Linked DNA regions of Alligator mississippiensis. The main gene of each other region encodes a partner of the protein of the gene in region 3 in a complex. Links are inferred from orthologs where the notes say so. Each region holds a gene or a part of one and is shown on either strand. Other genes may lie near its edges.

Region 1 (8,035 bases), on a different chromosome or scaffold from region 3:
TACTTGTGTTACCACCAGGCTGAAGAGCCCTGCTCCTGGACCCGGGCCATTTTATGCTAGGACACTATACAAACCGAACAGAGACAGTGCCTGTCCCACAGAACTTACAGTGATGATACAGACTAAAGCCTGATCCAAACTGCCTTCAGCTACTCATGCCCCTTGTTAAGTCAGGTGCTGCATGGGACGGCCCTGGACAGTGAAGTCCTCGGTCCAAGTTGAGATACAGCTTGGATAAGAGCACTGCAAGCTCTTCCTCTACTCCCACCCTGCAGACTGACCTGAAGCAACAACTATGATTGCAAGAGCAGCTCTGTCTCCAGGACCGTTCATTCCCTCACCTCTGCAGTAGGTACAAAGTAATAACAGCTTGGCAAGGGGGATGCTAGTGCAGAAACAGGCCGCAACTCCACAGCATTACCATCCTTTGTCACTACTGACCTGGGTAAGACTCATATTGAGATAACAGCACAGGGAGTCAGCCACAGGAGAAGGTGCTGTGAAGGGAGGTGAGTGGCAGAAGCAGGAAGCCCCTTAGGGCTGAATCATGTGCAGGCAAGTGCCTCAAGACTAGTACTGTTTTATGCTACATTTTGGGCTGCAATTAATTTTTGCTGAAGGGGTTATAAATTCCAGGAAGGAAAAATGCCAAACAAGAAACGACAACTTACCTTCATTAAAGCTATCAGGAACATTGGCCACAAGGAGGCACAGGAACCAGGCTCCATTTTTAACATGAAGTAGGGCTTCTGCCACATCGACTATGGGCAACAGTGAAGGCAGCTCTGAATGGAAACAGGATTTTAAAAGCCATTGTTTTCAGTCTAAAACAAGCTCTGAAATTAAAACTGTGTCAGTCACATGCTGACCATTTAAAAGTGATGGTACGGAGAGGTCCGTAAGTAAAGGACTGCACACCTGCTTGCAAAATACACAGAACGTCTGCTGCCTCCTCCAAGTAGACCGGGCTCTCGAAGAGCTCCGAAGACTTGAGGAAAAATTCACCATTTGACTCCGACACCTGGAATAGGAGGTTATCATCATAATACAAGTGTAATAAAGTGAGTAAACAGTATAACTCAGTTACTTCACATCAAATTCCCGTGGATTTGAACGCAAAGGATTAACTATGTGAAAACGGACCCAGCACACTTGCAACATGCCCAGTTTATTATGATTGTTTGTAATAAAGTTGCCTAAAAACCAGAGAATTGCTAAAAAATATTTAAGCAGGCACCTAGGCCAGGTGAACGTAGCTCCGAATTGTCATGAGAGAAACTGGAGAAACCAATCGAGGTGTATTTGTTCCCAAAACGTGGGATACCAATTTAAGCTTTTGTTGTTAGTTTGGAAACCCCGGCTATGTAGATGCTAGTAACTAAAAACACCTCCATGCCCCTGCCTTAAATAAAACAAAATGTGACCGAACAAAAAGGATCTCCATTGCCCCAAGCATAAAGCGCAGGCCTGAAGCCATGTGCACCCATGCTTGATTTTTTTTCCACGTCCACCAACATCAATCCACGCACGTGGTAAGGAATGAAACAGAAATTCACCTTGTTCATAATCGCTAACAGCTCGCTAAGCACAAGCCGAAGCCGGCGCGGGGAATCGCTGTGCTCGAACTCCAACGTCAGACCGTGCTGAAGCTGCGAAACCAAGATGCTTTCTCCGCTACCTCCTCCGAGTTTGAGCCTAATAGATCATTGAAATGTGAAAACAGCTGTTCAAAAAAGCCACAGAAACCAGGTGCCTTTTGGTGAAAACAAACAGACAATGCATTCGCACTCGCTCATTCGACAAATATTCTTTGCTGGGGGTCCAGCTAGCCAGAGAGCAGCACCGGGACTTTGGCACCATCGAGTTTCAAACACCAAACCCACCTGAATGGCAAAGTTAACCCGCTGTCAAAACACAGGTGTGTCTTGCGATCTGCACACAAACCACAGTCAAGCAAGCATACTCGTACAACCCTGGCTCTCTGTTTTCACCTCAGAAGACAGGGCTTGAGGAAGCCTCTATTTCTTAACCTACTGGAAGCCTCATAGTCTTCTCTTTGCCCTGGTCCAGAGAGATGGGTCTTCATTTAATGCGCATCACTGTCCCTTGGCCAGGTGCTGGGTATGACGCTCGAAGCTAAATAAATACGTAAACAAATCCCACCCTCCTTCCTCCAACGTCATCCTACCGAGCCCGAGGAACAAGTAACGAGCTGCAACAGTAAGGCAAAGCCGCGTCAGGACAAGAACGGGACGCGGGCAACAGTCAAACGAAGCCCTCGCAAGACACGAGCGTGCAGACCGCGCGTATCCTCTCGGTTACCGAAGCTGCTGCTCCTTGTTCGCGTCCTGCTCCAGCGCGTGGAAATCCACGGACAGCAAGGCGACGATGGAGTTGACGGCCTCCACGCCGGAAAGGAGCCGCAGGATGAGCTTTTTGTCCTGCGCCCAGCTCTGGCTCTGGTCAGCGGGCGCGCACAAGGCCATGCGCACCAGGCAAGGCAGCAAGAGCCGGAGCTCGGGGTCGCTCAGCGCCGCCAGGCGCACCACGTCCACCTTCTGCATTGCTTCGAACGCGTAGGGGCTGACGAACTGCAGGCTGGAGCACTCCGCCATGGCGCCGGCGCTGCCACCACCGCCGCCCTGCGCGCGAGCGCCAAGAGACAGGTGAGACAACGGTGGGGAAGGGGCTCCGCTCCTCCGCGTCCCGGGACCTCCCTCCCGGCTCTGGCCAAGCGGGGGCTGGAAGAGGTGGTATTCCCCTCACTCCTGCACGAGGGACACGGGGCACGGCCGCATCCCCCAACACCAGCTGCGGGGCCTTGAGCGGCCTCCCTTGGGGGTGGGGGGTCGCTTCCTTGCCGGGCCCCAGCCCCGCCACCCGGGGTGCACCCCACCCCTTGGATGAGGGCCCCGCCACCGACACCGCGCCCGCAACCCACCTCCCCTCAGCCCGGGGCCGCCCCGCCCACTTCCGGCCAGGACCGGCGCACCGCTCCGCGGGCGCACAGGAAATGACGACCCGTAGCGGAAGCGGGGCGGAAGCCGGCGCCAGGCCAGGCGCTCTGCTTCAGGCCCAGGGGCGGGGCGGAAGTCTGGGCAGTGCCGGCTCCAGTGTCCCCTCCCCGCAGGATGGTGCCGGGCCGGGCCCTCGGCTCCGCCTTCGAAATGAAGATGGGGAAGAGAAGGGAACCGAGTCCCGCGGGGGAAGGTGGGGCAGCTGCTGCTGCGTGACAGGGGAAGCTCGTCAGGACAGGCCGCAGCTTGGCTCACTTCAAAGTCAAGGGTCAAAAACAACACAACACAAACAAACAGAGCAGCTGCAGTGCTTCGAAATCAAGGGGCAAAGCCCCCCCAAAAACAAACCAACCAAAAGAAACTGAATTTCTATAAAATCAAGGGGCAAACACCAAGAGAAACTGAATTTGCCCGGCAGCCCGGCCTCGGCTCGGTCCTCGTCAAGAACCCAGTATTTGGGGGCTGGAGGAGAGCCGCTCCTGCTTCACACATCAGGCCCGGCCCTCCTCTCCGTCGTGGTCCACAGCACGAGGGGAAAAAACGTGCGGGGGGTGGAGAGCCACTGACTTCCCACCGCGGCGCGGCGAGGCGAGGCGGACGGGCTCGCCTCGCTCGTCCACGGTCCCCGTGGGGGTTGGAAATAAAGAGACACCACCAATCAAGGCTTCATGAATAATTTATTCCATTTGAATTTTTTTTTTTTAAAAAGTATAAACCTTTTCATTTCCTCAATCACAATTTGTACAACTCAGTGTTTATGGCATTCGGCAGCAATAGTGTTTTTGTTTGTTTGTTTTTGTTCCTTATTTCATTTTCCTGTCACGTTAAATAAGACGACTTGGACCATTTCATGTCGCGGCTGAGCGAGAACTTAGACGCTCCCCTTCTTAAAGTGACCCAGCTGGTGGGAGACGCTTTCTTGAAGCTGACATGTCCAGTAATGATGCCACAATTTGCAGTTTAAATAGGTTTACAAGGTCCGCAAATCCAGTTTATTTGGAAAAAAAAAAACAAAACCAACCCCTAAAGCTATATTAAAACTTCTGAAAAAGTGACCCTGAGGATTGTTGTAGGTCCCAAATCCAGTTTTACTGTAAATGAAGTTTTACTCCATTGAAAATAAAGAGTACACCCCCAAATAAGGTTTTCTAAACAGTTAAGTGTAGTTCTGGGTCTTTCAATTAGTACGAGAGAGAAAGAGAGAGAGACACAGACACTCACTGTCCACTTTTGTGTTTAAGAGATACTGCGAGACAAAACTCTCAGCTGAGAAACTGGATTCTCAGAAGAAACCCAGATCAAAACATTACATGGATAATATTAAAACCGACTGATATGCTATGCCATAGACTGTTGTGCAGCGAACTATATGGTGCAATAGCATTTTTTAAAACCTTTTCCTCCATTACATTTTGAATTTTTAAATAATGCAACATAATATTTTGATATTACAGTATTAATAGTGCTCAATTAAAGACATCTGCAAATCTTTGCAGCAACACATGGTTTAAAAAAAATAAATCATGGAAGGTAGATGTGAAGATGAAAGGAGAGCATCATAATCTGTGCCATACTGACAGCTGAGTAAGAATATAGCTGAGGATTTAAAATTTTAATTTTATTCTGAAAGGGTTAGAAAGTTTTAAAAATGACGTTTACTTTAAAATGCAAGGGCCATACGCAAGTACACTGGGGCCAAACCATAGTGTGTACAAGGAGTCTAATCCATACACTGTTACAGCCCAGCCCAGATAACTGAATGGCTTGCATAAATAGAGTATGGCTAGATTTTTTTTTCCTTTTTGACTGGCTGGAAGAATCCCATGTGTAGCCAATACATTTAATAAAAGTTCCACACCTACTACTTAATAAGAGCTGTCAGGAGCAATGGTAAGCACAGACGTTGCAGCTGAACCTGTCAGTGATCAGTATAAATTATCTTGTTAGCTGGCTGTCACAGTATTATTATTACATCAGTAATTATATGCACTTTAAACAGTGGGATTGATATCATTAGGCAAATTGATTCGTAAGGTGAAAGTCATTTATTTAGAAGTAAAACAAGTACCTTGCTCCTCAGTGCTGGCAGTTTTGATATGTACGCTGTTGGCAAAAAGATGCCAAGCCAGGAAAAATCTCCCAGCATAAATGGTTTCTAAAAAGACTAATCAAAAGGGCCTCCTGATCTCTTCTAGTGGTTACAGTATTTTAATTTCTGTTTTTACTGTATTTGAAAAATACTAGTGGTATATTTCACAGAAGGTTAGCATGACTGCACATTGATCGGGACCTCGCTGTTCAGGCAACTGGCTCACTTACCTGATGAATACAAGTCAGCCACATTTTAAACAGCCCACTGCTAACAAGTTCCACGCTAAAGAGGTTCATTAACATTAAGACAGGTTTAAAAGTAACCAGCTAAAAAAAAAAGGAAGGAAGCTTTGAAGATTCCAGGCTAAAGAGCATTTTCCCCCCTCAGATCTCAGCCACGTGAAAAAATGCTCTCAAACAAAGTAACATGCTACTCAATCTGTGATGCATTAGCATAATAAAAAAAATAATAATAATGCAGACACCCAGTTTTTTTACTTTAATATCAAAATATGCTGACTTCTGATTGCACTAATGTTGTTTTGAAGAAATGACTGAAAACCTTTGTCACCAATTGTACATTTTCTTCATACAAAAACACAAAGGTCGCTAGTATTGTATATACACAATTCAAAGAGGTTTGATGTTTGTTCATATGAAAAGTGATATTTCAGGCAAATATTTTGTATTCACAAAACATGATTTTCAGTACAAGCTACCAAATCCAGTTTTGTAAATACAAACGACTTTGTCCTTGTAGAGGATTTAGCAGTGGGTGCACAAAGGGATCTTAAGTCTTGCTCCTTTAAAAGGCTTAACTGGCAAAACGGATGGCTCGGTTTGTCCAGTGAGACCCGGGTGCTCGGTTATCATGGGTTCCCACATGCAGCTGAGAAGGACGCTGCAGAAGTAAATTCTTAAGCTGGCAGTCGGAGGACAAGGAACCATGAGAAAGGAATTGCTCGTGGGCACCCGTAGGGGCCGTTTTAGAGAAGCATTACAGATTTGGCATGCGCGAGTAAAAGGAAAGAAGTGTTAAGTGAAGAAAGCTGCTGATTGTAGAGGGAGAAGAGGTATATGAAGGCCTCCAGAGTCCCTTCCTCAGGGAGTTTTGAGCCTCCTTGGCACATGCCCTGGCTGGAATCAGAGGCGGAAAAAACTCATACACTGATTACCTGGGACCTTCACCACAGTGCCAAAAATAGATTAAAAAGGAAAATGGATTTTTTTTTTTTTTTTTTACTAGTGGAGTTCAGTCTGAATACCAGAATTCACTGAGAATCTATATACACCACATTTTAGTTAAACACACACCAATCTTAAAGTCAAGATTGACTGTTTTTGCATTTGTGAAATGGCTAGAGCTGAGCTAAGTTTCAGCCTTACAGGAGACTTGGGGGTAATTTCCTCATGTTTTTTCCCATGCCTGGATGTTCGGTTTCATCTTTGCGATGAAATATGTATCTTAAAGAATGCAAGAACGCAATGCCAAGAACTCCTGGTTAGCTACACACTGCGTAGCAGGTATTCTTGGACTAAATAAACCCAGCAACTGGAGCCTGAAGCTAGCCAAAGTTCTGAGCCATAACACAAAATTAAATTGAGAGTTTATTCATTTTATTCTCACTACAAGTTAAACCACCTACAATATCACTTATATATTGCCATTGTTACTCTGTAAAGGTGTGATATAAAATGCTGCAAGACCCGGTACCTTTTCAATTTATATAAACACAGTGAACTTCATTACTGTACATGTACTCTGCAACTACAGCTTAGCTGTAAATCCCCCACACACAATGGTATGGACATTAACCCCTCTATCCCCATTAAACTGTACATCAAGACAATACAAATTTACTGTCCCCACCCACCCCCTTACAAAAAAATAATACTCTAAAAGCAACCTACTGCAACTTTTAATTAAGACGATTACATATATTTTAGACCAATTGCTTTAAAGCAAGAAGGCAGTATAAACCTTCTAGGAAAATTTTTATAAAAGAGGTTAAGAAATATAAGACAATTTATACATTTAAAAACTTACAATAAATAAGAGAGATGCAGGCATTTTCGAATACTAGGTACTATAATCCAATACAAGAACATCTTGATGTTCTGAAGCCATAGGTAGAAACTTATGGTTCCTCATGTCTCTTCTCATCTCCATGCTTTTAATATTCATTAAACATGACTGGGTACTATGGCTCATTACTTTTCACAAATACTGTGACTGGGGAAAATGGTTAATTTTGCTACTAAAAATGTTATAATACATTTTGTCTGATCATCATTCTAAAGAGTCCTGTATAGTCAATGAAACAAAGACAGCAGGGTTATATGTGCCCCATCACAAGTCAAAACAATATTTGTTGGAAGTAACAAGAATTATACCCCATCACAAATGACTTGCACTGAGAAGAAGTGTAACTTAGTCCTGCAATGAAATATCCCTTTTCCTTGTTCTTTTCTTGCAAAGTTCAGATGAAGATCACAGCATATTCATGATAAAGTTATACAATTGATTCAGCACCACAAAATGAACTGGGAGACACGACCGTCTGTCCTGGGTTGCAGGATCACAGGTTAGCCAGGAGAGTGCATTGTACTGTTCCAAAACAAACCTAGAAAGCAAACAAAACTCCCATGAAACCTATACAGCTCTTTCCACTACCACTTTCAGAAAAAAATGTTTCACAAACAAGTAAGACGCATCTCATGACATTGCAGGTTTGCCGTAAGCTAAACACTTGAACAAAAACCCCAACACACACGCATGCACCGAAGTCAGGCTAGTCAGCTCATAAACGGCTAGCCTCCGAGTCACTGTTCTCCGAAGCAGGTCATCAAAGCCAATACCCCACCTGCTTTCTGTTTAAGTGGCACACAACTGTGCTACCAGATAGTCGTTATGCTCAGTACACAAC
Region 2 (7,159 bases), on a different chromosome or scaffold from region 3:
TTCCTGCACTGCCCTGCTAATGTGACACCATGATCCAATGCAGAAGCCATGGGGCTCTGCCCTGTACCAGGAGTTCATCTTTTTTATCAGTAGGTAGTAGTGCTCTTCTCCTAAACTGCCCCATATCTTCTAGCCTTAGCCACTGCCTCCACACACAAAGGATGCTACATATGAACTGTCTAGAGATGCATTGATGCATTGGTCCATATTGTATCGGCACTGATAAAAGGAAAATTGACATTATTGGCAATTGGCTTTTTTTGGCTAATGTGCCTGATAATGTCGCTGATAAGTGTCACATGCATGTGAGCAGCTGTAGAATGCATATGGCCAGGAGTGCAGCCCAGAAGCTTGGAAAGCAGCATCTGGTCAATAAATCTGTGGGGAGGAAGGGGCATGGTGGTGAGGGGCAGACTGAGGCCCCCGCGGTGACGGAGGGAGTGGGGCTGGGGCAGTTGCTGCCCAGCCAGGATGGGGTGGAGTGTGGGACAGAGCTGTGGCTCATCCAAGGGGTATGGGGGGGGGGGCGCTCCTGCTGGGGCGGGTGGCAGTGGTGCCGGGGGGGGGGGGATTATGGGGGGACTATAGCTACCCCAAAATTTGCCATAGCCACCCCTCCCAGTGCCGTCGTCTGCCCTGTCCCAGCCCCTGCCAGGAAGAGGTTGGCACAGCCCTGGCCCTAAGTGCGCAGCCCACCCTTACCCCACACACAGATCCAGGGGGGGCATGTGCCCCCCACGCTTGCCCCAGGGGTGCGTGCAGAGGCAGGAGCTGCTTCCCCCTCCCCTGGACCAGCTGCAACTCCGTCCCGGCTGTGCAGCGCCTACCCCAGCCCCTGCCTCACTGCAGGGGCCTCAATCTGCCTCCCCTACGCTCCTTCCCCACAACAGACTTACTGGCTGGATGCTGCTCTCCAAACTGCCAGGCTGCATATTGGCAATCAGATCGGTATCAACCGATATAACTGGTTAATAATTGGCCATCTGTAAAGGCCCCCAAATTTTTTATCGATGCACTCCTAGAATGGTCCCATAGTCCCAACATCCATTGTTCCTCCATGTCTAACATCTGTTCACTAGCCTGAACACTCCATGATTCTCCACAGACCTCTAATATGCAATCCCACAGACCACTTATGCTCCAGCACCACATGCAGTCCAATAGCCTGCTTTTCTCAGAGTATCTTGCAGAGATACACAGCCCACCAATTATTCCCACCCCAGGCCTGGCACTACAGCCCCAGAGTCCACTTCCTCCAACCCCTTGTATAACTCCACAGCCTCCCTCCCCTGTACTTCCAAGGCATGTTGCAGAGTTACAGAGACTGAGGGCAGTCACGTTTGCCTGGCAATGCACTGGGCTAATTAGCAAAAGAGTTAGTAGACAGAGAGCCACCTCAGATCTTTTATTTGGGAAGGCCCTGCCTGGACTGGGTGCTAGATCCAGCCAGCATTTGGAGAATTCTGGTTTAACTGGTTACAGTCTTTCTTTACTCTCCCCACCCTTTCCTCACTTAATAGATAAGCTGTTGCTTGAAATAAAGTAAAAAGGTTAAAAGTGATGAAAGTCTTCCAGCACATTAACTTTAATTTAAAGACTGTCTTGTAACTTGGGAACAACTGACCTGCCCTATATACACACACGTGCAGATATACATACAAGTGCACATACACATATATATGCACGCAGACAGGTACAGGTACATGTGTGTGCACTGTGCACATGTATTGTGAATCTGTTGGTTCATTTCCTCCTACCTGCTGTTTGTCTGTCTCTGGGCTACTTATTGCTTGGTTTGTGTCCTCTCTTCATAGATTTCATAGACATTAGGGGCTGGAAGGGATTTCATGAAATCATTGAGTCCAGCCCCCCTGCCAGAGGCAGGAAGTCTGCAGGGATCAAATGATTCCAGCAAGATAAGCATCCAGGCGCCTTTTGAATGAGTCCACAGTAGGTGCTTGCACCAACCAGCTCTGGGGGGAGTCTGTTCCAGACCCTGGGCACACGGACTGTAAAGTTTTTTTTTTTTTTATGTCCAGTCTAAATCGGCCTTCCAGGAGTTTGTGGCCATTATACCTAGTTATCCCTTGGGGGGCCCTGGTGAACAACAGTTCTCCCGGATCCTAATGTGCCCCCCCCTTATAGACTTATACTTCTCTTCTTAGACTAAACTTACATATACCCAGCCATAGGCGACATAGCCACAGGTAGAGGGTGCACAGAGGAGCACGAGCCCCCCCTGACAGCAGACACTGATGCTGTTGGTAAGGTTGGTGCCCCCCGACAGGGCTGCCACCGTGGTGGCTTATGCAGGCACCCCCCCAAATTCAGGAGGTGCCAGTCACTCACGTACCCAGCACTACCGCAAATAAAGAGCAGCTCTTCACAGAGCCATATCTTTCAGCTTGACCCTAACATACTGTTAACCCAGTAACATGCTTGCATTTAGCTCAGGTTTGACTGCCCAAAATGCATCTTCAAAGGAAAAACGAACAGGTGAAAAGGGGTCTGGTAATTCAGGTGAGGCTCAAGAACCTGAACCATTAGAGATGGAAAAGCCCTATCTGGTTCACTGCCCAGAAAAGCAAACAGAAATGAATCCCTGGCTAATGCTTACTGTAAGGCAGGGGTGACAAAGTGAGCTGGCCCCGTGCACCAGATGAGTGACACGGGACTGGTCCACAGGCTGGATCGGGTCCAGGGACTGCCCCTCCCCCCCAGCCAGGCGTGTCAGATCCAGCCCCCGCGTGCAGCACAGGTCCTGGATCTGGCAGGTGGCGGGACCCACAGGCCCCTGCCCCGCAGCCGGTGCCGGTGCCACTGTGGCTGGTGCGGGACTGCACTGCACTGCTCCGCTCTAGGACCCGTGCTGCATGCGACACCTGCCTCGGGCCGGCTACAGCAGGTGCTGCAAGCACTGCATCGGCTTGCTAGGAGGAGGGGGGTGGGGAGGGATCCCAAATCGGCCCTGCACACGTGCTATTTGCAGCCCAGATCGCTTACCCCTGGCCGCGCCGGCCGGCCAGTCCGTCCAGCTCGCGGTCCCCCCGGCGCCGCGCGCTGCGCCCGCGGGTTCCGCCCGGCAGCGCGCGCCGCAGGAAGGGGCGGGGCCGCTGTGACGTCAGCGCCGCGCGGGGGCCGGAGCTGCGCCACGGGTGAGCGGCTGCGGGGAGCGGGGCCGGCGGTCACGTGGTTCCGAGGTGGGGGAGTCACATGCTTCCGGGGGGGTGCTGACCTAGGTTGGAGCCCCCAGCTCTTGACTGGGCTGGGAAGGGGCACCAGCTCCCCCCTGGGGAAAGGGGCTGCATCACAATGGGGGGCCTGTGACGCGTGTGCGTTGCGGGGCCAATCCGGGCGCGCCGGGCGGGGGGTGGGCAGTGCTGGTTTGGGCCCCGGGCGGGGCTGGCGGTGGGGTCTCCGCGGCCCCGGGTGCACCCCTCGGGCTCCTGGCGCCTCGGGCTGCGCCGCGCCTGCCCACCGTCATTTTGCCGCCTTCCCTTGTCCCCCCGGCCTGTTTCTCTCTGCCAGGGTGGCCGGGTGTACGAGAGCCATCCGAATTGTACCATAACGTCAACCCTCGTAGGATAATAATAGGAGAAGTGCTCAAAGCATAGCGCAATTTTTGAGGCAGGTCTTTGGCGCAGCGGATGCAAAACCCAGGTCACTTTCAGGGAGCCTTAACTGACTTTATTTTGTTTTGCTTTTTTTAATTCAATATATTTCATGTTCTAGGTCAAAGCACCCAAATCAGTTCCGAATCATATTGGTTGAGCAGAGCTCAATCGGTCCAAAAGCCTTATCGATGGACCAGGCAGGACTCAATCATTCTGAATGCTGTGTATGGTGCTACAACTGGTGAACATCCTCCTTCCCAGACCAATTACTCTGGGACTTAAGATGCTCCCAAACCCATTGGCAGGTATCCTACGTGTAGGTCCAAGCAAGCTCAGAGGTCTTGGGGTTTGGATGCCCCCATCATACTTGATTTGATTCAAAAGGCTGAGAAATGATTTTTGGTCAACCCATTCTTATGACTGCTTGCTTCAAAACAAGGAGATGTTTCAACTTTGACTCTGTTCTCACTCACTCCCTGGCAAGTTACAGGAAGCAGTATAAAGTAAATAAACATTTGCATACTTATTTGCATATTTTTTCAGTGTACAATAGTTTTTCAGCAAATGCAATAATTTTGAGCTTCCGACAGGATAATTTCATGTTTAAGACCTGGCAACGCTGCTCTCTGCAGAATAAGCAATGTCTCAAGCCTGGTAGCCCTTTCCGCTAGACCCTCACCCCGTTCTTCTGCTGCCCTTTGCGAACTGTCAGGGTTGGTTGAAAGGGGTCCATTCAAATAGTTTGGGCACCAAAGCCTGGTTTTTAATTCAGTTTCTGGCATTCTTCATCTGAATCTCTCAAAAGAACTTCATATGAAGTTATATAGAACCTTCTGACTAATTTTTCTCTGTTAATGGGGAAGCTGAGGCACAGAAGTTAAGCATTTAGTTTGTTGTCGCACAGTAAATTGGTGGAAATATAGCTTAGGTCACTTGAGCTGCATGTCCTAAACGCACGGGTACTGTTTTGTACTGCTCTGCCTATTTGTTGGAGCAGACGTTCCATTTTTTAAAAACCTAATTGTCCTGGCACATGTTAAATTGAAAGAAATATTGTTATCAAAGATGCCCAAGACTCTGCCCAACACAAAGTCCATCTATGATCAAAGCCTTATTCAGAAATTAGGACCAAAATGTTTCCATCTTTTAAAAAAAAATTAACTTTCTTGGGAAACATCTGTTCTTTGAACAAAGATGCATAGGTCTGTCCCACAACCCAAACACTGCTGTGCAGTGAAGGTGATTTAATTGGCATTTACTCCATGTCCTGGGAAATACTGAAAAGCAAACAAACACGATAACTGTGAAGTTATTTTTGTTTTTTGAGTTTTAGTTAACAAAAGTGGCATTCATACCATGGGTAAATTTGTTTCTGAGATCTGGTCTTTAACCTATTCAGTATAGCAGATGATGTTGCTCATTATTGTATTACAGAAGCAGCTTGAGGCTCCAGCTGAAATAAGTAAATGTCTGTCCTGCCCCAAGGAGTCTGCAGTTTGAATGGACAAGAGAAGTAATTTGATAGGGAAGTGGGAAAATATAAGCTACAAAATATAAGCTACAAGCAGAGTGGAAAGCACGATGGTTTGTATAATGGGACAGCAGGAGTGTAGCAGGGCAACTCCATGCCCAGGGCACCATTGGCTGTTGTGGTGATGATCATGGCAGCTCTTGCTGCGGTTGTGGCTATTTTATGCCCCACTCTACAAAGGCAGCATCTAGAACTGTTGCCACTGGTCTCTTCCGCTTCAGTCCCCATTATAGGGAAGAAGGGAAAGGGCCCTCTAAAGAGGAACCAGGGTGGAGGCCACATCTTTAAGAGCAGTATAAAGGAAGGGCTTAGCAGCAGGGGAAGCAGAAGGCTCTGGCTGGACCAGGAAGAATGGAAACCCAGGAAAACTGACTAGGATAAGCGTTAGGAAAACAGGAGGAGGCCTCACAGGCCCAAAATAGAGGCTAGAGGTTCCATTAGGGCTCTAGAGGCTAGGCTAGATGCATCAAAGGGCAGGGACTAGTCTGGGGAAGAAGAACCCAGAGGCCTTACCTGGGAGATGTCATAGCTGAGAATGTGACATACCAGGGGAGCCAGTAAAGCCGTAAACCCTGTCAGCTGGACTCTCATTTCCTTCTACCTGCACGCTCTGTAAAGTCAAGATGTGGTTTGGTGAGATTAGTAAGGACACGATGTCATAGTTTCATAGTTGGTAGGGTCGGAAGGGACCTAAGCAGATTATCAAGTCTGACCCCCTGCCATGGGCATGAAAGAATGCTGGGGTCAGACAACCCCGGCAAGGTGTCTATCCAGCCTCCTTTTGAAGACCCCCAGGATAGAAGTGAGCACCACTTCCCTTGGAAGTTGGTTCCAGATCCTAGCCGCCCTGACTGTGAAGTAGTGCCTCCTGATATCTAGCCTGAATCTACTCTCTGTCAACTTATGGCCATTATTCCTTGTTACTCTCAGTAGTGCTCGGGGGAACAGGGACTCTCCCATTGCCTGCCGGTCTCCCTTGGCCAGTTCATAGACAGCCACCAGATGCCCTCTCAGCCTTCTCTTGTGGAGGCTGAACAGGTTCAGGTCTCGTAGCCTCTCCTTGTAGGGCCTGCCTTGCTGCCCCCTGATCATGCAAGTGGCCCTCCTCTGGACCCTCTTGATGTTGTCCACATCCCTCCTGAAGTGCGGTGCCCAGAACTAGGCGCAGTACTACAACTACAGCCTGACCAATGTCATATAGAGGGGGAGGATCACCTCCTTGGACCTGCTCATGATGCATCTGTGGATGCAAGGTGTGATTAGCCTTCCTGACTGCGTCCCCACATTGGCGGCCCATGTTCATCTTGGAGTCTATAATGACTCCAAGATCCTTTTCTGCCTCTGTGGTGACGAGAAGGGAGTTCTCCAGCCTCTAGGTATGCTGCTGGTTCTTTCTCTCTAGGCGCAGCACCCTGCACTTGTCAGTATTGAATCCCATCTTATTCTCATCCACCCACTCCTGTAACCTGTCCAGATCCAATTGCAGCCTATTCTTCCCTTCTAGCGTTCCCACTTCTCCCCACATCTTAGTGTCATCTGTGAATTTGAACAAGGTGCTTTTCACCCCCTCGTCCAAGTCTCTGATGAAGATGTTGAACAGTACAGACCCGAGGACCGAGCCCTGGGGGACCCCACTGCCGACATCCCTCCAGGTCAAAAATGACCCATCCACCACCACTCTCTGGGTGCAGCCCTCCAGCAAATTGGCGACCCATCTGACTGTGTAGGCATTGACACCACAATCTCCTAATTTTTTAACAAGAATGGGGTGAGAGACAGTGTGGAATGCCTTCCTAAAGTCCAGAAAGACTATGTCCACCGTGACACCTGCATCCAAGGATTTTGTGACCTGGTCATGGAAGGCCACCAGGTCGGTCTGACAGGACCTGCCTCTAATGAACCCATGCTGGTTGCCCCTAAACATACACTCCCCTGCTTGTCCCTTGCAGATGTGCACCTGGATAATTTTCTCAAAGAGCTTCCCCAGGACCAAGGTAAGACTAACAGGCCTATA
Region 3 (7,553 bases):
TCTCCTGGGTTACTGCACTCGTTTATACAGGGGCAATGAATTACAGTTTCCAGCTCTTGACTGAATACTCCATTACCAAATCAACTTAAGAGGCATATAGTTTAAAAGACCCTCTCCCCCCCCCCCCCACAAAAATCAACCAAAAACCTTGTCAGTAATATGACACTTATGTGAACACACAAGGTAATACCATCAGGACATGTATAAACTAAAGGCCCAATCCCACAAGGAGTTGTAGGTGGTTACCAGAGCCAGCGTGAAGCTGCATTAAAATCAATGTAAAGTGACATTGACTGCACTGACTATAAAAGCATCCCAGCTGGGAGCAGCCCAGACAACAAACAAACTGCATTAAGTTATCTGTAAGACAGGTAAAGTTATCTGTTCTGCTGCAATAAGATTTTTACGCTGACAGCATTTTTTAACCTGATTGACTCCAAATCCTGAAGTTCCCTGAAGGTGAAGAACATGCCCATAAACTGCTCTGATCCTGCATTCAAAACCCTATGAGCGCTGCACAGAAAGGACTACACTCAGGAATCTCTCATGCAACCAGTAGCTGTTAGCATAAAAGGCAATCTTCAAAAATCCCTGTTTATGGAAGGGAGGCATCAGCATGCTTTAAGTTAAACTGTTTCTTGCATCAGAATAATATTCATTCCCCCAGCTCCCACCACACACACTTATCTAGAGTCTTCCCCACTCCCCAGAACTGCACACTGAAGGTCCAGACTGCATAAGGCACACACTGGCTAAAGTGTTAGCAGAACAAGTGCATTTCACTACAGAAACTTGAATTTCTTTAGTCCCAGGGTTTCCTTAGCTCCCGAAACAAAGGCAGAGAACAATTCAAACTCCTCCCTGAACTTACGCATATGCCACTTCATTATCATGACAAAATGAGTGCATCAGGGAACACTTGGGATTTCATTTTCCAAGCACTGCTCAGACATTTGCTGGCCCCACCTCTCTGAAGGAGAGCAGAAGAAATCCTTGCATGACAGACATGGAAACAGGCATAGGGTAAACTTCTCTGAGCAGGAAGGGTCCATGTCCACTCTGCAGAGCATCTAGCACAACGGGAGCTCGTTACCAGGTGGCCATGTAGGCACAAACTATTATAGTTGTGCTTGTACAACGGAATATGCTTTCAAGACTGAAGCAACTTGCCAAAATTAGTGGGAGAAAGAGGAATGTCTCAGCTACCTAGGATTTTCTGAGAATTTCCCACCAATTCTCTGGCAACATTGCAGTTTCATGCCCAGGAAGAATGCCTGGCAGCCCACATGCTACAATGTCGTCTAGACCTGCTCTGAACGGAGGTAGATGACACAGGATTAAAAATGCTGATGGCTGACTGCTAGCAACAGTGCTAACAGAATGGGAGGAAGATTAAGAGAACAGGCACAGCAGAGTTAAACACCACGTCCTTGTTCCTGATCCCATGCTCAGCCCGCTAGACAATTCTGTCTGTACAGAAAGCTGTGCCTGACTCAGGGTTAAAGACGAAGAACTTGTGTGTCAGAAGGGGACACGGCATCCCCAGATGCAAGCATTTCACTTTAGTTTGAGCAGAATTGTCCCACCTCAGAGAACCCAGAGCTCTGAGGACACAGAGACAGCAGATAATTTTCACAACCAGAAATATAAATCTGCCTGAAGCTAAAAAAGTTCAAAATATCAGTACATGTAATGTACTGCTCCCCACCCCACACACCTTCTGCCCTCTCCCCACCCCACACACCTTCTGCCTCCCTACCTTCTCCTTAAGGATTTGGAGCTGAAAGAGCAGAAGGAGAGTCAAGACGCACACAAATAAACAAAGTTTACGGTCTGCTGTTGCAGGACCATACCCCAGCATGATCTTACAGCGACTAAAGAAAAGTCTTCAGAGTTATATATCCACATACACCCACTCCCCTCTCACCAGCATCCCTGTGAGCCTGGCCTAATGTTAGATAAATAAAGAGAAAGGCAGTTCCTACTAATGAGGCAGGGTACGGCAAGGCCAAAGAAAATGCAATCATCTCAGGGGGGAAAAAAAAAACAAAAAAAAAAAAAACTGCACTGGGCTCCTCCTCTCCCATCTATGGAGGAAATCAGATGCCAGCTGCACCATCCGAGGAAGGAAGCAGAGAGAGGCTCTTGCACCTGATGAGCCCTGCAGAAATGAGTTAGCTATATCACAGGACCCAGACAGCCACTCCAGGATTTTGCAAGCCCAAAAGTTGTCTGCTTAGCACAAACCGTTTATATGACAATTTTATTTTCTGGGGTGTCAAACCATGCAAATGTCATCCCTTTCACTGGGTCCTTCTCCACTATCCCCTCTGGCCTCTGGGGCACTCGGCCAGTGCCCATCAGACTCGCTGTTCTCACATCACGACTCTGCCCATCAGTTTAACACTTCCTTCCCCAGGTTAAAACCCACAGCTTTCAGTTGGTATAGATTTTGCACTTCCCTCGATGCCACAAAAAACTCCAGAAGCAACCAAAATATACCCGACTTCAGCGACTTGGAAATATCACCCCCGCACAAGCAAGCTTCCCCCCGCCAAAAAAAGGCATCCTCCCCCTCCCCCATGTGAAGGGGGTTGGGGAAAGCATCACCCACCGCCAAAGGGCCAGAAGCCAGAGAGAAACGGAGCTGCTGCAGAAACTGTTTCCAAAGAAATGCCCTGCAGATGGATTCAGCGACACTTCTAACTGCCACTTCCCACCAATAAACCCACCGGCCAACACAGAGGGGGCAAAAAGCTCTGCCGGGCTCCTGCGTTTCGCAGTTCCTGAAGGAAGACGCGACTCCCAGCCGGTATTATTCTAACTCCGCGGCAAAGCCAAAAAAGCATAGGGCCAGGATAAAAAAAGAAAAAAAAAAAAAAAAAAAGAGCAGCCATGCGGCATTTTCCTCCCTCCCACCGCCCCCAGCAGCAGCAGCCACTCTTCCCTAGGGCAGTTTCAGGGCCCCACACATCCCAGATGTGCAGGGAGAAGAGATTTCCCAAGCCCCAGCCTCTCCCTAAAATACCAAGTCATGAGGATATGAAGGCAAACATCCCCCCACCCTCCGCCCAATGTCTCCTCATGCTCCACATGTGGGGAAGGGATTTCTCCTTCTCCCAGCCCCAGTCTCCCCCTGAAAAACAAAGTCATGAGCGTACGAAGGCAGACGCTGCCCCCCTCACCCCTCTCCAACCTGGACATAGAGAAGGAGGGAGTTTCACCCTCTTCCCAGCCCCAACCTCCCCCTGAAATACGAGGGGACGCTGCCCCCCCGTTTCTCCTCACACCCAGCATCCCGGACGCGCACCAGCCTTGCCCTACACCCCACGTCCCGGGCACGTGAAGTGATTTCACCCCCCGCCACCTCTCCTCACACCCGAAGTCCCGGACACAGGAAGGGATTTCACCCCTCCAGCCTCTCCTCACACCCAGCATCCCGGACACGCGCCAGGAAGGGATTTCACCACCCGCCCCAGCCTCTCCTCACACCCCATGTCCCAGACCCACAAAGGGACTTAACCCCCCCCCCACAAGTCCCAAACCCATGAAGGGATTTAAACCCCCCCCCCCAGTCCCAAACCCATGATGGCATTTAAACGCCCCCCACAAGTCCCAAACCCATGAAGGGATTTAACCCCCCCCCCCCAGTCCCAAACCCATGATGGCATTTAAACGCCCCGCACAAGTCCCAAACCCATGAAGGGATTTAACGCCCCCCCCCCCCAGGCCCAGACCCACGAAGGGATTTAACCCCTGCCCCCCCAATTCCCAGACCCACGAAGGCATTTAACCCCCCCCATCCCAGACCCACAAAGGGATTTAACCCCCCCCTCCCAAGTCCCAAACCCAAGAAGGGATTTAACCCCCACCCCCCCAATCCCAGACCCATGAAGGGATTTGCCCCCCCAACCTTTCCTCACACCCCAAGCCCCAGACACAACCACGTAGGGGCTTCACCCCCCAGCCCCCCCCCCCAAAAAAAAATTTACAAAGTAACAAGGAGACACACACAGACCCCCCCCCGCACACACGCACGCACACACACACACACACACACACATACACACACACGCACGCAGAGTGAAGGGTTGCGACCCCCAACCCCAGACACACGAGGGGATCCCCACCACATACAGTGAAGGGGTGCCACCCCCTCAGCCCCCCCGAAATACGAAGTGAGGAGGATACACAGGCAACCCCTCCCTCCCCCTCACACCCCCTTTCAGGGCTCACCCCAGACGGACCGTCTTTGTCTGCCTGACGAGCGCCATGTTGATATCAACATCCGAGCGCCCACCTGCCGCCGCGCCGCGGCCCTGGGACTTGTAGTTCGCCGCTCCCCAGGGCGGCGGACGGCGGGCGGCCCGCGGACTGCAACTCCCGGCGTGCCCCGCGGCCCGCCAATCAGGGAGCGCGGCCGGCCGACTACAGCTCCCGGCATGCCTCCCGGGCATGACCTCATCCGCCGGCTGAGGAGGCGGGGAGGGACTACAGGTCCCAGCGTGCCCCGCGCGCTGGGAGGGGGAAGAGGCAGGGCAGGAAGGGGCAGGGGGGAAGAGGCCGGCAGCATGAAGCTGGTGAGTGGGGCGGTGCAGGCCGGGGGGGGGCTCTCTTGTCCTTCCCCCTCCTGTGTCCTGGGGAGCCTCAGCCTTGGCCCCTGCTCCCCCTCCCCACCTTGCTGGAGGGCCCCGTCCTGCACATGGGGAAACTGAGGCACAGGAGGGGCCTAGGCTGGGGGTTCATGCCTGTATTAAGGCCCCAAACAGGCTTGTGTGCACCGGGGGGGCGGGGGAGGAGCGTGGCCGTTTTGGGGGAGGGGTATATGGGGGCTGGGGTGGCACTGGGGTGGTTTGGGGGGATGGTGGAGGGGTATTTTGGGGCTCGGGTGGTTTTTTGAGGGAAAGGGGTGTTTGGAGGCTGGGGTGGTTTTGGGGGATGGTGGAAGGGTATCTTGAGGCTGGGGTGGCACTGAAGTAGTTTGTTGGGGTGGCCCTGGGGGCAATTTTGGGGGATAGTAGAGGGGCATCTTGGGGCTGGGGTGGCACTGGGGGCAGTTTTTGGGGGTGGTGGAGGGGTATCTTGGGACCGGTTTGACACTGGGTGAAGTTCTTGGGTGGCAGTGGAGGGGCATTTCATCTGGGGTGGCGCTGGGGGCAGTTTGGGGGGATGATGTAGGGGCATCTTGGGTCTGGGGGGGCAGTTTAGGAGGGAAGTGTTGGAGGTGCATCTTGGGCAGGGAGCTGGGGCTGCGGAGGGCACGGCAGGTTGGTGAGCGTCTCTGCTCAGTGCTGGGAGCAGCTGAGCATCGATTTCCACCTGAGTTTACAGGGCACTAGAGAAACTTATGGGGAGGAAAGCTCTGATATAACACTGTCTAGTCAGATAACCCAGTCCTGATCGCCCTCCTCTTTGTAACCGCTCTTCTTTTGCAGTAGATAACTCTGTTCAGATATGCCCAGGGCTGTCGTAAAGCAGACGGCCATCAACTGTTGTCTTTGTTTACAGGACAAGAAGTAATGGCCTCTGACGTGCAACACAGGAGATATAGGTTAGATGTTAGGAAGAACTTTCTAACTGCGAGGCTGGTTGAGCACTGGAAGAGGTGACCTGAAAAGGCTGCAAAACCTCTGGTGCTGGAAAGTGGGGTTTTTTTGGTTTTTTTTTTAAATGCATGTTAGACAATTTTAGAGGTTGATTCTCAACCTTGTTAGACATGGGGCACCCCTCAGAAAATGCCTGGAGGCTGCAAGTGAGAGGAAGAGTGGGAAAAATCCCTTATCATGCCTTGTTCACTCTCCCTTTCAGCATCTGCTCTCTGCTGCCCCATGACACAAGAGCCTGGGCAATTGGACCTATGATGTCATTCTGTAAATGGCAGTTTTGTTGTTCACACATTTTTAACTATGGAAAAATCATAGAGCGGGTTTTTTGATGCAAAGAACTCAGAAAGATCATAACAGATCTAAATGTGTTTAACCCAAGGATTCCTATTTGAAATTTCTAGGTTCATCAGAGGGTGGTTTTGATTTAAATACAGTTGTTTTAAATCAAGAACCCTCAATTTTAATCATTATTTTCTACAAAAAGTGCATTCTTGATGTTTGATATAACCTTCATTAAAATATTCCCAACCTGGGTCTCTTTTATGGCTTGGCCAGCCTGCTGCCATGATAGGTTTTCCCTTCTACCATATCATTCCCTCGCTAGATCTCAAATTAGTGAAGAAGCTATACTCAGAAACTTATTCCTCAAGACTTTTGGAATATTCTGCTAAAAATGTTTCTTTTGTTTCTATTGCCATCCCGTCCTTGCATTATGTCTAGACTCTTCCTCCTTGCCCAGATCTACTCCACCCCCAACAATCCTTTATTCATTTAACTTTTTGAAACTTTGCACTTTTAGAGTGGGGCAAAAGCTTGACTCTGCATACACAAACTTGCCGAGACAAGAGGGCTGATCCGTAGGTAATTGGGTCGGTTCTCTCTCATCTCTGTGTACTGCTGTTAACAGGGGTGTTACCTCTGGAGAGACAAATCCACAGTCTGAGAACTGAAACTAAACATCACAGAGATGCTTAATGGGATTTTCTAGACTGAGCACTGAGTTCCACTGGGTAGAATAGTTTTCTTTAATCCTTACTAATCATTGGAGAATCCTTTGGGAACCCCATAAGATTGGACCCTAATATAGTCTATGGCCTGTTTTGACCTATTTATAAAGCTTCTCTAAAAAGGTTACATGAATATATTGTTTCAAATAGTATATAATTAGAAGTTATAATCCCTATTCCATGATGATATCTTTGAGCTCTAACATATCTTAAGTTTAAACTATTTTTATGTAGGTTTATTTTTTAAAAATCGTAAGAAAAAAATCGATATGATTCAATCAGAAAAATCTGATTTAAATAAAAAAATTCAACTTTTAATTAAAAAAAATCATTGATTTTTGTCCACCCTGGTTCATCATGTGAATCATGTTTGTACACCTAACAGTGCTAGTGTTGTGTGCCCCCCCGATAGGATTTCAAGGCACCCCTTGAAATCACCCCTTGGGTCACTGGTTTAGAGGATCCTGCTTTGAGCAGAGGATTCATTTAGAAGACCTCTTAAGGTGCCTTCCATTTCAATTATTTTAGTTATCATTCTTTGTAGCCACTTTACCAAGTTTTCCTCCCTCCGGCTCGGACTGTCATGTCCCAGCGTACAGGGACAATCTGTAGCTTTTCTTTTCCTCAGGCAAAGAAAGGTTGGGCTGACTTCCACAGGTGTTGAGTACCTTTGTCTGAGGAAGGTGTAGATGGCATAGGTTGGCACTCAGTACAGTAAAATCTCTGCTATCTGACATTTAACTAGCCAGAATACTCTGTTAACTGGAATTTCTGGCCGGCCGGACGCAGGGGAAAGCTCGCACACGGCAGCTGCCACGGCCGCTCCGCGTGGGCTGCCCTGCACTGCCATTGCTCTGCTGTGCCGAGCTTTGCTCCGCGCTGAACCCTGCTGCTGTTGCTGCTCCACATGTAACTGCTGCCACCTCCCCACTCCACATCT

The links.
Region 1: INTS9 (region 3) and INTS2 share a complex: the UniProt entries of both Homo sapiens proteins name them as parts of the integrator complex. The link is inferred for Alligator mississippiensis from reciprocal best matches to the Homo sapiens genes INTS9 and INTS2.
Region 2: INTS9 (region 3) and INTS12 share a complex: the UniProt entries of both Homo sapiens proteins name them as parts of the integrator complex. The link is inferred for Alligator mississippiensis from reciprocal best matches to the Homo sapiens genes INTS9 and INTS12.

Annotation. Positions count from the first base shown.
Region 1 is NC_081837.1:3,838,499-3,846,533, reverse strand, and holds the start of INTS2 (integrator complex subunit 2), read right to left. Parts: upstream 3,002-8,035; 5' UTR 2,942-3,001; intron 2,643-2,941; 5' UTR 2,616-2,642; coding exon 2,323-2,615; intron 1,696-2,322; coding exon 1,557-1,695; intron 1,022-1,556; coding exon 919-1,021; intron 786-918; coding exon 672-785; intron 1-671. Other genes in the region: MED13 (mediator of RNA polymerase II transcription subunit 13), read right to left, coding at 7,600-7,732. UniProt on the Homo sapiens protein: Component of the integrator complex, a multiprotein complex that terminates RNA polymerase II (Pol II) transcription in the promoter-proximal region of genes.
Region 2 is NC_081825.1:131,326,582-131,333,740, reverse strand, and holds the start of INTS12 (integrator complex subunit 12), read right to left. Parts: upstream 3,088-7,159; 5' UTR 3,004-3,087; intron 1-3,003. UniProt on the Homo sapiens protein: Component of the integrator complex, a multiprotein complex that terminates RNA polymerase II (Pol II) transcription in the promoter-proximal region of genes.
Region 3 is NC_081824.1:6,034,846-6,042,398, reverse strand, and holds the start of INTS9 (integrator complex subunit 9), read left to right. Parts: upstream 1-4,516; 5' UTR 4,517-4,571; coding exon 4,572-4,580; intron 4,581-7,553. Other genes in the region: HMBOX1 (homeobox-containing protein 1), read right to left, coding at 4,248-4,288. UniProt on the Homo sapiens protein: Component of the integrator complex, a multiprotein complex that terminates RNA polymerase II (Pol II) transcription in the promoter-proximal region of genes.